3 linked regions of the Nothobranchius furzeri genome follow. The protein of the gene in region 2 binds, or shares a complex with, the protein of the main gene of each other region. Links are inferred from orthologs where the notes say so. Each region holds a gene or a part of one and is shown on either strand. Other genes may lie near its edges.

Evidence for each region. Proteins that work in one complex are often made in the same cells at the same time.
Region 1: polr2eb (region 2) and ercc3 share a complex: the UniProt entries of both Homo sapiens proteins name them as parts of the TBP-based Pol II pre-initiation complex. The link is inferred for Nothobranchius furzeri from reciprocal best matches to the Homo sapiens genes POLR2E and ERCC3.
Region 3: polr2eb (region 2) and taf1a share a complex: the UniProt entries of both Homo sapiens proteins name them as parts of the pol I pre-initiation complex. The link is inferred for Nothobranchius furzeri from reciprocal best matches to the Homo sapiens genes POLR2E and TAF1A.

What each region holds. Positions count from the first base shown.
Region 1 is NC_091749.1:40,317,157-40,321,751, reverse strand, and holds part of ercc3 (general transcription and DNA repair factor IIH helicase/translocase subunit XPB), read left to right. Parts: intron 1-74; coding exon 75-245; intron 246-316; coding exon 317-521; intron 522-637; coding exon 638-952; intron 953-1,064; coding exon 1,065-1,249; intron 1,250-2,018; coding exon 2,019-2,221; intron 2,222-2,308; coding exon 2,309-2,405; intron 2,406-4,595. UniProt on the Homo sapiens protein: ATP-dependent 3'-5' DNA helicase/translocase. Binds dsDNA rather than ssDNA, unzipping it in a translocase rather than classical helicase activity. Component of the general transcription and DNA repair factor IIH (TFIIH) core complex.
Region 2 is NC_091748.1:48,493,776-48,498,914, forward strand, and holds the start of polr2eb (DNA-directed RNA polymerases I, II, and III subunit RPABC1), read left to right. Parts: upstream 1-1,720; 5' UTR 1,721-2,123; coding exon 2,124-2,180; intron 2,181-2,541; coding exon 2,542-2,716; intron 2,717-2,900; coding exon 2,901-3,016; intron 3,017-5,139. UniProt on the Homo sapiens protein: DNA-dependent RNA polymerase catalyzes the transcription of DNA into RNA using the four ribonucleoside triphosphates as substrates.
Region 3 is NC_091742.1:8,330,485-8,335,079, forward strand, and holds part of taf1a (TATA box-binding protein-associated factor RNA polymerase I subunit A), read right to left. Parts: intron 4,459-4,595; 5' UTR 3,882-4,458; coding exon 3,838-3,881; intron 3,580-3,837; coding exon 3,425-3,579; intron 1,963-3,424; coding exon 1,799-1,962; intron 1,667-1,798; coding exon 1,553-1,666; intron 1,475-1,552; coding exon 1,276-1,474; intron 1,128-1,275; coding exon 1,009-1,127; intron 1-1,008. UniProt on the Homo sapiens protein: Component of the transcription factor SL1/TIF-IB complex, which is involved in the assembly of the PIC (pre-initiation complex) during RNA polymerase I-dependent transcription.

The DNA of each region.
Region 1 (4,595 bases), on a different chromosome or scaffold from region 2:
CTTAAACTAAACCCCCGTTACGTAAAAAGTGTAAAATATTTATTTTTCCTATTACATTTCTCTTTTTTGGCCAGATTTCTAAGTTTGTTCAAGAAAAAGGAGACCCATCCACCTCACAGCAGCCTGTTGATGGACAGACCTCAAACCAGCAGGTCCCTGAGGACATCTTCAGCTACTATGAACAGATGGATAAGGATGAAGAGGAGGAGGAGGAGACTCAGACAGTGTCCTTTGAAGTTCGACAGGTACCACATTTATTGTTTTTTTACAGAAATAATAGGAAGACCATCAACACCCTGTGCTTCATCTGCTGCAGGAGATGATTGAAGAGCTACAGAAGCGTTGTATCCAGCTGGAGTACCCCCTCCTAGCGGAGTATGACTTCCGAAATGACACAGTTAACCCAGACATCAACATAGACCTGAAGCCCACTGCCGTGCTGCGGCCCTACCAGGAGAAGAGTCTGCGCAAGATGTTTGGAAACGGGCGAGCCCGATCAGGAGTCATTGTGCTACCCTGTGGTAGGAAAGCTAGTCCAGAGCTGCCAGGAGAATACAAAACGTTTATTGATAAAATGCAGACTATAAGTTAGAACAGCAAGAAAACAAATGACTGATTTCTTGTTTCTGATTTGAAGGTGCTGGGAAGTCTCTGGTTGGCGTGACAGCGGCGTGCACCGTGCGTAAGCGCTGCCTGGTGCTGGGTAACTCGTCTGTATCTGTGGAGCAGTGGAAGGCCCAGTTCAAGATGTGGTCCACCATCGACGACTCTCAGATCTGCCGCTTCACCTCCGACGCCAAGGACAAGCCCATTGGCTGCTCGGTGGCCATCAGCACCTACTCTATGCTGGGTCACACCACCAAGCGATCATGGGAGGCTGAAAAGGTCATGGAGTGGATGCGGGGCCAGGAGTGGGGGCTTATGATCCTGGATGAGGTGCACACCATCCCTGGTGAGCTCTCGGCAAAATCCAGATAATAAAACCGTTTATTTTTTTATTTTGAATGCAATGGGACGTGGACCTTGTGTTTAATGTGAATTAATAATGTTATTTTTGTCTGCAGCAAAAATGTTCCGACGTGTTCTGACCATTGTCCAGGCCCACTGCAAACTGGGCCTTACTGCCACACTGGTCAGGGAAGATGACAAGATTGTGGACCTCAACTTCCTCATTGGGCCCAAGCTGTATGAAGCCAACTGGATGGAGCTGCAGAACAATGGTTATATTGCCAAAGTTCAGTGTGCAGAGGTAGGTCCTGTAACACTAGAACATAAATGGAAGATTTTAGGAGTAAAACTGGTATTCTTTTAAAACATTAAGCTAGTCACCAGAGCTTTGATGTGCAGTAATTAAACAGTGAGCCGATAAACCAAAATGAGATTCAAGAACACCTCAATAAACTTTCAGATCATTATGATTAGAGGTTCTTTAAATATCTGCTGCATCCTAGACTGGAAATTTCTTGGCAATTCTGCTAAAACAAGTGTGTGTAATGCAAATGTTTTAACAGGTTTTAAAACTATTGTTTACGGGAATTTGGAGTTGTTTTAATATGACAACATGCTTTGGATGTGGGTCTATTTTGAACCATATTTACAAGCTAAAACTTTTCCAAACCTCAAGGTTCAAGGGCATAGCAATCGTAAGAGTTGAAGATTGAAGAATCATTTTTATTTGAGAATCATTTTAGATGAGAGGTGAAGTTTCACCAAGATACAAGAAAATAAATATAGCTGTCCTTTTGTTTGGGCATTCTCTAAAGATCCGAGGGCTCTAGTGGACGATCAAAGAGATTATACTGATATTTGAATAGATGACTAGATACGGCAGCACTGAAAGGATTAACTTGTTTAAAATCAAGACTAAGGCTTTGACAGCAGCTACTGTGTGTCCTGTTGGGTTTAGTAGATATACTTAAGTTTTGATTATCTGGTTTTTACTTCTGAAAGTTTGTACAGCGCTGATTAAGTGGATCCCTGTGTGTGTGTGTGTGTGTGTGTGTGTGTGTGTGTTTCAGGTGTGGTGCCCCATGTCTCCAGAGTTTTACAGAGAGTATGTGGCCATTAAAACAAAAAAGCGCATTCTGCTTTACACAATGAACCCCAACAAGTTCCGGGCTTGCCAGTTCCTCATTCGCTTCCACGAGCGGCGCAACGACAAGATCATCGTCTTTGCCGACAACGTGTTTGCCTTGAAGGAGTACGCCGTTCGGCTCAACAAGTGAGCTTTCAGCGACAGAAGTTTTTCAAATTGTTGCATTAAGTATTCCTGAAATTTTTAATGATACCTTTTGTTGTTTTATGCAAGGCCTTACATCTATGGCCCCACCTCTCAGGGAGAGCGTATGCAGATTTTGCAGAATTTCAAACACAACCCAAAGATCAACACCATATTCATCTCCAAGGTGAAGTGTTCACCCGTCTCTCGCACACACACACTCGCACTTTTCGTTCCAAGTGCGAAGGAGGGGTGCCCTTTGATCCTTAAGAATTTTCTTGAAGCTTTATCTCGTCCGGGAACATCTTCTCTAACACCCTAACAAGCCTAGCCATCATTTAATTTACACTAATTGTCCCACCTTCAAAATAGATTTTAATGTATTTAGTGCTTAATGCTTATACAGTGATTTGTTCTGCACTAAAGCTTTGATGTTTGTTCGTACTTGCAGGTAACCTTGGGTTTAGATTTGTCCAAAGTAACAATACTGTTGATGAAAATGTATTATGTATATTAAATACGATTTATTTATTCAGAAAATTAACAAGGCCAGTAATTACTTAAGTAATGTTAGTTGTTCTCTGTGTAATTTGCATTTAAAAATCAATTCTTTGGTAAAAAAAAAACCAAGTCAACTCTTTTTTTTTGTTGTAGTATCAGAATTTCATATTTTTATGAAATAATTCAGAGAAATAACTTATTTTTCCCTCTCTTTAAATGTAAAGGTAAAGAGTAAAACTACAATTGGAAATGAAATAGTTGATTTCTATTATTAACATTTTTATTTTATAAGATTAGATTGCAACTTCAGGGCTGTAATTATGAGTTATCCTGGATTCTCCTTCAATTTTCATTTGGTAAGCCAGATAGGTCAAATTAAAAATTAAACATAAAGCATGCTAACTTGCTTTTGTAGCAGATCACAACGTTTTCATGAAATCAGATGTTTTTGCACAAAATAACAAAACATTCTAAAATAACACGGGTAAAAATGTAGGTCTTTACATTTGTGGCTACATGTGAAAATCAGTCAAGCAGCAGAGTAAAACTAACAGACTTCTGTGTTGTTGTTTAATGTGTGTGTTTTTTTTAATGTTTTCAAAGGAAGTGGAGACCAGAGGTGGAAATTACTAAAATTTCCTACTTAAGTACGAGTTCCAACACTTTGATAATTCTTTAGTACAAGTAACAGTATTAGCCAAAATTTGTACTCAACCAATAGTAAAAAGTATTGTAATTAAAATGTACGCAAAGTAAAGGTTACTTTTTTGTCAGAATAAGGACCTAAGTGCAAAATCATAACACTAGCGCACAACTCGCTTGCATGCAGGCACACACACGCACGCACGCACAGGACACACTGCATTATTTTAGAATCGTTTGAATGTTTGAATTACTAATTAAACTAAGGTAATGAGCTGAATATTCTTTTGCCGCTGCCGTGCGGAACAGTTTGAGGAATACATTTCAAAGGCGGAACCTCGTCTGGCTACCAAACCGAGCAGTATACTGCCGTAACATCAGTGCATGGAGGTGTGGGTTTCAACCAACAGGAGAGGGAGGGAGAGGGGGGAACAGCGAGTGCATCACAGGGTTTAAACTGATGTTTTTGAGCAAAACTGCAGCAAAAGTGTGGCTGTTTAATGCCCTCATTATAAAAAGTGTACACCCACACCCCCCACAGGTGAGACGCTTTGCTCATGCAGGTGTCTCTTCCTGTTCCAACACTGCAAAGCACAAGATCTTAAATTTATTATTAAGCCTTTTTGACTCTGTAACGGGTATGATGTAACGTAGTAATGAAGTACTAAAAAATAAAATAAAAACATACTCAAGTAAAAGTACAGACTTTTAAAATGACTGAAAAGTACAAATAAACAAAAAAGCTACTCAATTACAGTAACTATTACTTTGTACCTCTGGTGGAGACACCAGCTTTATTCAGCTTTTTGCTGCATTGTGTATTTTTATTCATTTATTTTTTACCATCCAGCTGGTCAGTCTGGTTCTGTTAAATATAAATTTAGAGACCTTATGCATAAATTGCTGAGGATGTCAGAGTTATTTTTGTTAGCTGGAAGTTGCTGGTGAATGTTCTCATCCAGGGCATGGTAAGTTCAGGAGAAGACAACTGGACATCTTTATTTATGAAGATGTTTTGCAAGAAGCTGTCCCAAGATTTGTCATCTATGCCCTCATCTGAACCTACTAGGACAACTGAGTTACAAATAACATGCTAATCTCACAAACTTAACTTGACTTAAATAATTTCTCAAAATTAGACACTCAAGTTACCAAAGGGATAATCCTGGTGCAAATAATTTTTTTTTTAACATTTGCTTCAGACATATTTGATTTGATCTAAAACAATTTGTCA
Region 2 (5,139 bases):
AAATGTCAGTCCCTTACCATAGCCTGCAGCAGGACAGAGAGAAACACTGTGCACCCTAACAGGCGCATGGCTGCCCCTCTCTCAGCTTCTCTGTTACAGAACAATCTAATCTGTCAGAGCAACCCCCTCACTGCTGAACCTCACATCTGACAGAGCCTTAATGTACAAGGGGCGGGTCGAAATGACCAGAAATGATAAGCTGGATTTCTCCAATAGGTTCCTCTCTTAGGTCCTAACAAAACAAACCCTGATCAAAAGCACGCGTGCTGCAGGCCAAAGTTCATAGCTATGTCATAAAACTCACAGAAAGATGAGGTGCATGTGACTCGGGCGAAAGGTAAAAGTCCAATCAAACGCATAATGTGATTATTCATATAAAACAGTCTGTTACACAAGCGCGGTCAGGGCCAACAAACAAATCATATAAATCCCTGACGACAAACGAATGAGTGTTTCAAGCTGTTAGAATAAACAGCATTGTGTGCTTATGAGGTTAAAGTGCAGGAAGGAAGAAACGCTGAGCAAATCAGAAAATGTGCAATTAGAGAAGGTGATGACATCATTTACTAATACAGTTCTGATTTACAAAGATGGTCACAAATTAGACACAGAACAAAAATAAATCTAAAACTAACAGAAAAGTGTTTATACCATGAAGGTATTAATACTATGATGATGATAGGCTTATCAGCTTGTCGCAACAGGGGGGTGGGGATGATGCAGAGGAATGCTGGTGTCCTATCGTGACTTTCAACATTTACACAACCTGAAGTGCGTTGCCTGTGTAAATACTGTCTGCAATCGTGCCCGCAAGGGCACCACAGATGTCACAGCAGCCATATTCAGTTACACAACTTCTAAATCTCATTATAAAACAAGCCAAGTATCACGGAGGTTTACTTTACCGCTGCCGTGGATAAAACAAAATACAAAATCACGGCCAGTAGTGTCCCGCTGCTCGCCACAGCCCCCAAGCCCAAAACAACATATAACGGCCTCATTTAGTTATAGAAAAGGTCACTTCTGTCGAAAATCCATGCGTTGTTCGGTTGTTCGTTGTAGCTGCACGTGACTCCGCCCCGTTGTAGGCTACTAGGTGGGCCAAGGGTAAAATTATTATTATTATTATTATTATTATTATTATTATTATTATTATTATTATCATCATCATCATCATCATCATCATCACTGTTGTCGTTGTTGTTGTATTGAGCATTGTTGTCGGAAATCATGGAGTCTGCACCATTAAGTCTCTGGCGCATGTCACGGCGCGCTGTGCGAGAGGGGGAGTTTACTCACGAAGCAGCATGTACAGCACGTCACTCGCACTGAAACAAACACCCTCTATCTAATACAATCAATTAGAGGTCGTACAGAGTTTCACCATTTGATGGCTTTAACGTTCAAATCGAAGGAGGAGGGTGTTGGATAAATTATTTACTTTATCTGGGACATGGATTAGATCATGCCCCCATTATTTATCTGCACAGAAAGATTGCTGGGGTGTTCGGTCTTACACAATCAGACTAAATACAGCAACACCCACTTTTCACACCTTGTTCATTTAGGATACGATTCGTGGCGCACACAGTCTTGACACATTTCCGTGTACTGATCCACAATGATGCATCTAGTCTGATTGTGTAAGAACGAACAAATGGTCTGACTCCAGCATGCTTTCCATACTGATAAATAATGGGGACATGATGTAATTAAAATTATCCAACAGGGGACACAAATCTGCCCTCTAGTGGCGAAAATCTTTATTTAACTAACAGAACAGCGGCGGTGATTGCTGGTTTATGATGACGTCTTTGAAGTTAATTTGCTGGAAAAGCCTCGTTGTAAGATGGCACTGTCGTTAACAAATGCTAGAGGCGCAATAACTTTAGAAGGTCTCTGAACCAAGCGAAAAACCCCATTCCTGGTCTTTAGTCAGATAAAAAAGCACATGAACACCGGCAAAGCAGAGAAGGAGCAAACCCCTTCAGGTCAGCTTTTCTGACGTCATCAGCCTGTGTCAGTCAATCGGGAAACGTGCGTTCGCTTAAAGAGCGATATTGATAACAAAAAAAAAATCATTTTCTGACCAAATCTAGTGCACACAGCTTATTTAGCAGGACATGGATGATGAAGAGGAAACATATAGACTTTGGAAGATCCGCAAAACCATCATGCAGGTTCGTTAGGTTTGAATGTTTTCTTTATTTAGCTTGTTAGCCTCTTTTAGCTCGTTAGCTCAACATGAATGAATGTATTTTTTATCACTGAAGTTCCGTTAAATTTGACTTGTGTACTCCTTATTTTAACATTATGACAGCCTGGCTAAACACTAGCTTGTTCAACACTTGTTCCACTGGTATTTTAAGCAGTTTACCAAAGTACGAAGCAAGACTAGCGGCTCTAACCTGACTGCAACAATTGTTTCTGTAAAATTTAAATAAGTGTGTTTAAGTTCGACAAAATAACAGACGAATTATTTAATTTTAATGTTTATTAAATGAGTTTTCTGATACCTTCTCTGATGTTTTCCTCCTTCAGCTGTGCCATGATCGAGGTTACCTTGTGACCCAGGACGAGTTGGACCAGACTCTGGAGGAGTTCAAGAGTCAGTTTGGAGACAAACCGAGCGAAGGTCGTCCCAGACGAACAGATCTCACGGTGCTGGTGGCACACAATGATGATCCCACTGACCAGATGTTTGTTTTCTTTCCCGGTATGTTTATTTTAACTGGGAGATTGAACAGAAATGGAGACCAGGTGACTTTTGTGACTTTTGCTCAGTGCATCAGTCTTTTCTAGAAGTAACTGGGTGATTACATTTGGAACAGAGAAGCGTGTTTGATTTGAAGAAAATTGTTATGAATTCATCTTTTTTTTGTCCATTTTTGTCCCACCAGAGGAACCCAAGGTGGGGATCAAGACCATTAAAATGTACTGTCAGAGAATGCAGGAGGAGAATATCACTCGAGCCATCATCGTTGTTCAGATGGGCATGACGCCTTCAGCAAAACAGGTATGTTTATGTTCATGTATTTAGCAGACGCTTTTGTCCAAAAGACCTACAAGTAATAATGAAGCCAGCAGGTTGCCCTTGAGGCTTACAACAAACACTAATCAGTCAATCCTAGGTGGCAGTGAGGCAGCATAATGAATCGTAAAGGGAAGTGAATAAGGAGTGGACAGTAGAGTGGGGGACGGGTGCAGGGAGGGTGCTAGCTTAGAAGATGCTCTCTGACGAGCTGGGTCTTCAGGAGTTTCTTGAAAATGGACAAGGTCAAAGAGATCTCGCAGTACAGGCAGGAAGACCAGTTAGAAGGGCATTGCAGTAGTTGAGGTTGGAGATGACTGTAGATTGAACCAGGAGCTGGGTGGCATATTTTGTTAGATATGGTCTGATCTTTTATATGTTATACAGCATGAAGCGGCATGAACGAGTGACAGAGGCAACTTGATCTTTAACTCATTTCCTGCCATTGATGACTAAAGTCATCATTTGTATTTTTTTTTTTACTGTGTGGGTGTCGGAACGAGCTCCCGTACCGTGAGAACAAACATCCCAGCTCTAAAGCTGATCTTTATCCATGTACATCACACGTCACATGATCAGGAAGCAAAAAATCCATGTGTTAGGAGATCGTTTTGGGCTGCTGCTGTAAAAAAAAAAGTGAGGCACGATCCAGAAAAGCTTCTGCCGATCACAATTCGACAACGGATTATGAAAAAATGGATAACACTCTAAACACGCAGATTATTCCAGATGTAAGAGGTGAGTCTACTCTTTGTTTTGGTAGTTTGGGCGTTGACATCATCATAGAGTGCAACGTTCGGTGACTTTTCAAAAAACTGTGAAAACGCTGAAAACCTCTGGCAGCGAAGGGCTTTACTGATCAGGAAACGACCGGAAGGTAATGAGTTAAAGGTCAGCTGGTCATAAATCACAACACCCAAATTTCAAATTGTGTGTGAAGGAGCCAGAGATAGGGGCTCGTTTTGCATTGAGATATTGTGTCGTATGGATGGGTTTGCTGGGATGTCAAGTAATTCAGTTTTTGAGAGGTTGAGTTGGGGATGGTGAGATTTCATCCATCTTGATATATCAGAAAGACAGTCCAAGATTTGTACAGAGACTGTGAGGTCGTCCGGACGAGAATGACAGATAGAGCTGGGTGTCGTCAGCATAGCAGTGGTAGGAGAGGCCATGCGATCGAATGATCTCACCCAATGTGGTGGTGTATGTGGCAAAGAGAAGAGGTCCTAGTAAAGAGCCCTGGGGGACTCCTGTGGCAAGATGGTAAACAGCAGAAGATTGTCCGAGTCAGGTAAGATTCAAACCAGGAGTGTGCTTTCCCTGTGATGCCCATGCTAGAGAGTATGGACAAAAAGAAGCCACGGTTGACTGTGTCAAATTCAGATAAGTCAAGCAGGATAAGCACTGAGGATTTGGGCAGTCGCTCTAGCTTATTTTAAGGCTTCAGTGGAGTGGCCATTTTTGAACCCAGATTTGTATGGGTCAAGCAGATAGTTTTGTGAGAGGTGCTCTGCAACCTGCTTGAAGGCCGCCTTTTCGATGATTTTAGACAGGAACGGGAGGAGAGAGATAGGTCGGTAGTTCTCCACACGATTTGGAGGAAGGGAGTTGGTTTCTGAGTGTCAGAAGTGCTGAGAATTTTGTCAGTGTAGAAAGCTTTCTTTGCATTAGTGATGCTGGCAGAGAATGAACTTTGTACCGTTTTTAGATCAAATGATAACATTAAGGACAGGAAACCTGATGAAATGGGGTTGTCCAGATGAATATTCATGTCTCCAAGGACCATTGTGGGACAGTCATGCTCAGGAATGGAGGAGAGCAGGGTGTCAAGTTCATCTAGAAAGTCTCCGTGTTGTCCTGGTTGTCGATATATAACAACCATAAAGAATAATTTTCGGTGCAGTTACCCAGATGGCATGGTATTCAAAGGAGATGTACTTAGTTATGGGTAGCAACTGACTGTATTTCCATTTGTTGGAACTTAACATGCCTGTTCCACCACCTCGGCCAGATGCATGAGAAGTGTGGTTGATTGAGAGTGCAGCTGGGTTCATCGTCACCAGGTTTGATCCAGGTCTCAGTGAGAGCCAGGGCATCAAGTGACAGGT
Region 3 (4,595 bases), on a different chromosome or scaffold from region 2:
ACCAGTTTTAGTGTTTGGCGCTTGGCTACACGGCAAAATCTACACTACAGATGAGAAAATCGTCAAATATTTCAAGATTAGCTCAGACCAATCGAGATCACAATTTCAGACTGGCTACACGTCACATCCAACCGGCAGAATGTCTGACCAAGACATTCCATCACGTTTAATATCCCGATTTGTGATCGGGAGCAGTCCTGCAGTCCTTCCGAGCAGACCAGAGAGCTATTAACACACCACACACGGCAGGAATATCTGATAAAACTATCTTTAAATCTGTTACAATAATCAGGCAGATCCTTGAGATGGTCAGGAGGAGAATTGGGAAAGAAACTGGCGTGAAATGGTGTTCTGTCCAATCACCATACGTTGTCAAGATTAGCATACGCGTGTTACAGCATACGCCTGACAGCACATGTCTGTCAGATCATACATTTAAGCTATATGACAATGTGATAGGCCACTTTGTCCATCAGATAATCATACTTGTTTAAAACGACCGTACGATCCCTTGACTTGTCCATTTGATAAATTTTAAAGCTTTATTTTCTAAATGTTTAGAATTAGAAGGTAGTAAAATAAAAGTGTGATACACAATCATCAGTTCATTTTTGTGGTAAAAAATTATGAACACAGTCGATAAACATTTTCCTTGTACTTTGTCGTTTGTATGCTTGACTCACAGCTCCTCGAACATAACATGACATAGTTGGACGCTGCTCCGTTAGAACACTGGGCCAAAAGCTCCTTATTAGCATCTCCAACACTTAAGGAGGTGCAACAAGATCAAACTCAAACTCATGCGATCTGTTAGGGCTCTGATGTGAATGACTCGACTACCAACAAATTTTAGCTTAACATCTGTAAAATGCACGTCGCTATTTTTGTGTCAGCTAGCATCATTTAGCTCTGGCCGCCTTCTAAATGAAACTTTAAAACACACTGCAGTTGCATTTTAATCAATCCAATCGTGCTGTTTTACAACGCCTGCGACAGATGAGCGTTTACCTCGACATAACTCAGAATGAACGGATCCCAGACTCCTGGACTTTTCAAAATCTCTTGTAGATGCACAGAAGCTTGTCTGAAATAGTTATGCAAGTCTTGGTGATCAGAGTCAAATGGATCTGAAAAAAAAAAAAAAGAAATAATTTTTTTACAGCCAGCTCTGCAGCTTGTCTGCTGCACATGCAGTTACTTTATTTAACCGTTAGAGGGCAGTATAGGACCACAAATCAAACAAGTCAAACAGGCATAAAGGATGCCGCTTCTTACTATTTTTAGAGCGTGTGCGCCTTTTGTCACACCAGATTATATAATCCAACAAGCTCCTGTAGGCCTGGATCAGTTGAACCTTGTGATGCTGAGTGGCCGACTCCTTCCCATATCGCCAGCTTTCGGCGACTGATAGCTGCTGCTTTGCCTCTTCCATCTGACCATTCAGCAGCAGGTGGAAGCAATGCTCCAGGCAAATCTAAACGCACAGACAAAACGGTGTTTTCATAAAAAAGCTAAATAAAGTGCATTGCATCAAGTATGTCGGCCAGCATACCGTCAGGTAAAGTTTAACCCCAGAGTGTTTCATCCGTTCATAGGTGATGTTGCAACTTTCCATCGTTGCTCTGGGATGATGGTGAAGGATCTCGGTGCAGATTCTCCAAACAACCTGGAGTAAAGATCAACAAAATAAAGAATTAAAAAGCTAAATGTGGTCAAATATTTTATGAGGATTTTGTATATAAAAACTTCAGTGTGAATGTTGGTTCAAAACAAATATAATAAAACAAAGTTAAGTCACCTCTTTATACAGCACAGCTGTGGCTCCGTTCCGGTCCTCTAGGATTTGAGGGTAGGACGCCATGTAGTCCGCTGCCTCTTGCCATCTATGACGCAGCATGGCTTCTCTGATGTGCTCCAAACACATCTGAACACTTCGTCTGAACCCAGTTTCTTTGTCCATCTCTGAAAACATTCATATTATTTGACCACTAAAACCCTTTCCAGGCATTTATGCTCTTTAAATATAAAAATACTCACACTTACTGCAGCTCTTCTCCACTTTTAAAGCAAGCTCATCTGTTTGCTTTGGGAGTTTATTTAACTGATGTTTGAAGGTTACAAAAAAAATTTCATTCTCATCATAAATAAGCCTGGTTTTGCATTTTAATGTAAGTCCATTTTGATTCTAGTGTAATAAATTTAAGAGTAATTCCCAACAGTGCAACTCTGCAACTTGCTAACATAAACTGGTGACTGTACTCATTAAAATATAGTAATTTTGACATTTTTAGACATCACTAATCGGAAAATTTAAGTTATACAAATTTTTGACTTTAGGACAAAGTTTACTTTGAGTCAGGGATGAGGTCCTGATCCAAGTGGAGGAGTTCAAGTATCTCGGGGTCTCCTTCACAAGTGAGGGAAAGATGGAACACGGGATCGACAGGCGGATTGGTCTGCATCTGCAGTGATGTGGGCTTTATACCGATCTGTCGTGGTGAAGAGAGAGCTGAGCCAATGATTCACCGGTCAATCTACCCTCACCTATGGTCACGAGCTTTGGGTAGTGACTGAAAGAATGAGATTGTGGATACAAGCGGCCGAAATGAGTTTTCTCTGCAGGGTGTCTGGACTCTCCCTTATAGAAAGGGTGAGAAGCTCGACCATCTGGGAGGGGCTTGGAGTGAGCCCGCTGCTCCTCCACATCAAGAGGAGCCAGTTGAGGTGGCTCAGACATCTAGTTAGGATGCCTCCTGGATGCTTTCCTGGTGAGGTTTTCCAGGCACGTCCAACTGGGAGAAGACCTAAAGAAAGACCCAGGACACGCTTGAGAGACTGTCTCACAGCTGTCCAAGGAACACCTTAGGAGTCCCCCGGAGTAGCTGGCCCGAGTGGCTGGGGAGAGGGAAGTCTGGGCCTCTGGATAAGTGGCTGAAAATGGACGGATGGTTTACTGGTGATGAAATACATGCGTCTGAAGTTATTCCTTAAAATATACAAATAAAAGAACATAAAACTTTGTTCAAGTGTATACGAATATAATGTCAGTTGATGATCTTATTCTGAAGAGCAACCCCTTAGTTCTCCAGGTGTGTTTAAAGCTGCCATTGCAGCACCTTTTTACAAACCGATTGCTTTTTTTTTTTTTGTTTGTTTGTTTGTTTTTTGAGAATGGATTGGTTGAGGCGGTACACCAATATGTGGTTTCTTATCTGGTAACCTAACCTGTACCAGCATCAGTTAGAAATTAACCAAACTACAACCTAAAGTCACCTCGATAAGCCACTAATCCTTCTTCGTAGTACATGACACAGGTCCTATCAGCGGATCTGGAAAAGGTTTATACATTCCACGTCTGCACAGTCTCTTTATTAGTATTACTAAGATGTAAAAGAAAAGAATGTAAGTGTGCTGTGCCTCTCACCTACAGACAGAGGTTTAACCAGAGGAAGCGTTGATTTATGCCCTTTTCTACAGCTTCTGTCTGAAGAATCACTGCCATCATCCAGGTTTTTGACAGTTGAGAAGTCTCTAACCTGGTCATCCAGATCCGCCATACTCAGTATGAAATTCTGGCACCTGCACAAAGAAATTAACACATTGAAAAAGCCATTTTCCAGTTAAGCTGATTGTGTGAAACGTACACATAATCAAAGGCATCTAAAACATGAATATTTCCATACATTTAAACACTAGAGCCATTTACTAGAATTTGTTTAACTCTATATTCTTTTAGAGAGACATGGCACTGCTTTCTATTAGTATCTAATTCTAAATGTAGAACACAAACATCTAAACTAGAGCAGGTGAACACCAACTCCAGTCCTCGAGGGCTACCATCCTGCTAGTTTTCTGTTTCCTGCTCTTCTTTCTTCTTCCATCTTCTTCTTCTTCTTTCTTCCTTTTTCTTCCTTCTTCTTCTTTCTTTTTCTTCTTCTTTCTTTTTCTTCTTTCTTCCTTCTTCCTTCCTCTTCTTCTTCCTCCTCTTCTTCTTCCTCCTCTTCTTCTTCCTCCTCTTCTTCTTCTTCTTCCTTCTTCTTCTTCCTTCTTTCTTCTTTCTTCCTTTTTCTTCCTTCTTCTTCTTCCTTCTTTCTTTTTCTTCTTTTTCTTCTTTCTTCCTTCTTCCTTCCTCTTCTTCTTCCTCTTCTTCTTCTTCTTCCTTCTTCTTCTTCCTTCTTCCTTCTTTCTTCTTTCTTCTTCCTCTTTCTTCCTTTTTCTTCCTTCTTCTTCTTCCTTCTTTCTTTTTCTTCTTTCTTCCTCTTCCTTCCTCTTCTTCTTCCTCCTCTTCTTCTTCTTCCTTCTTCCTTCTTCCTTCTTTCTTCTTCCTTCTTTCTTCTTCCTTCTTCTTCTTCTTCTTCTTCTTCTTCTTCTTCTTCCTTCTTCTTCCTTCTTCTTCTTCCTCCTCTTCCTCCTCTTCTTCTTCTTCCTCTTCTTCTTCTTCCTCTTCTTCTTCTTCTTCTAATAATAATAATAATAATAATAATAATAATAAATTTCCAGCAGACTATACGCTGGAATGTGCAATGCTGCCCACCACAGTTATATTACTGCTACATTATATCCTCGAATAAATGCCAGTGTGATGAAGGAATTGA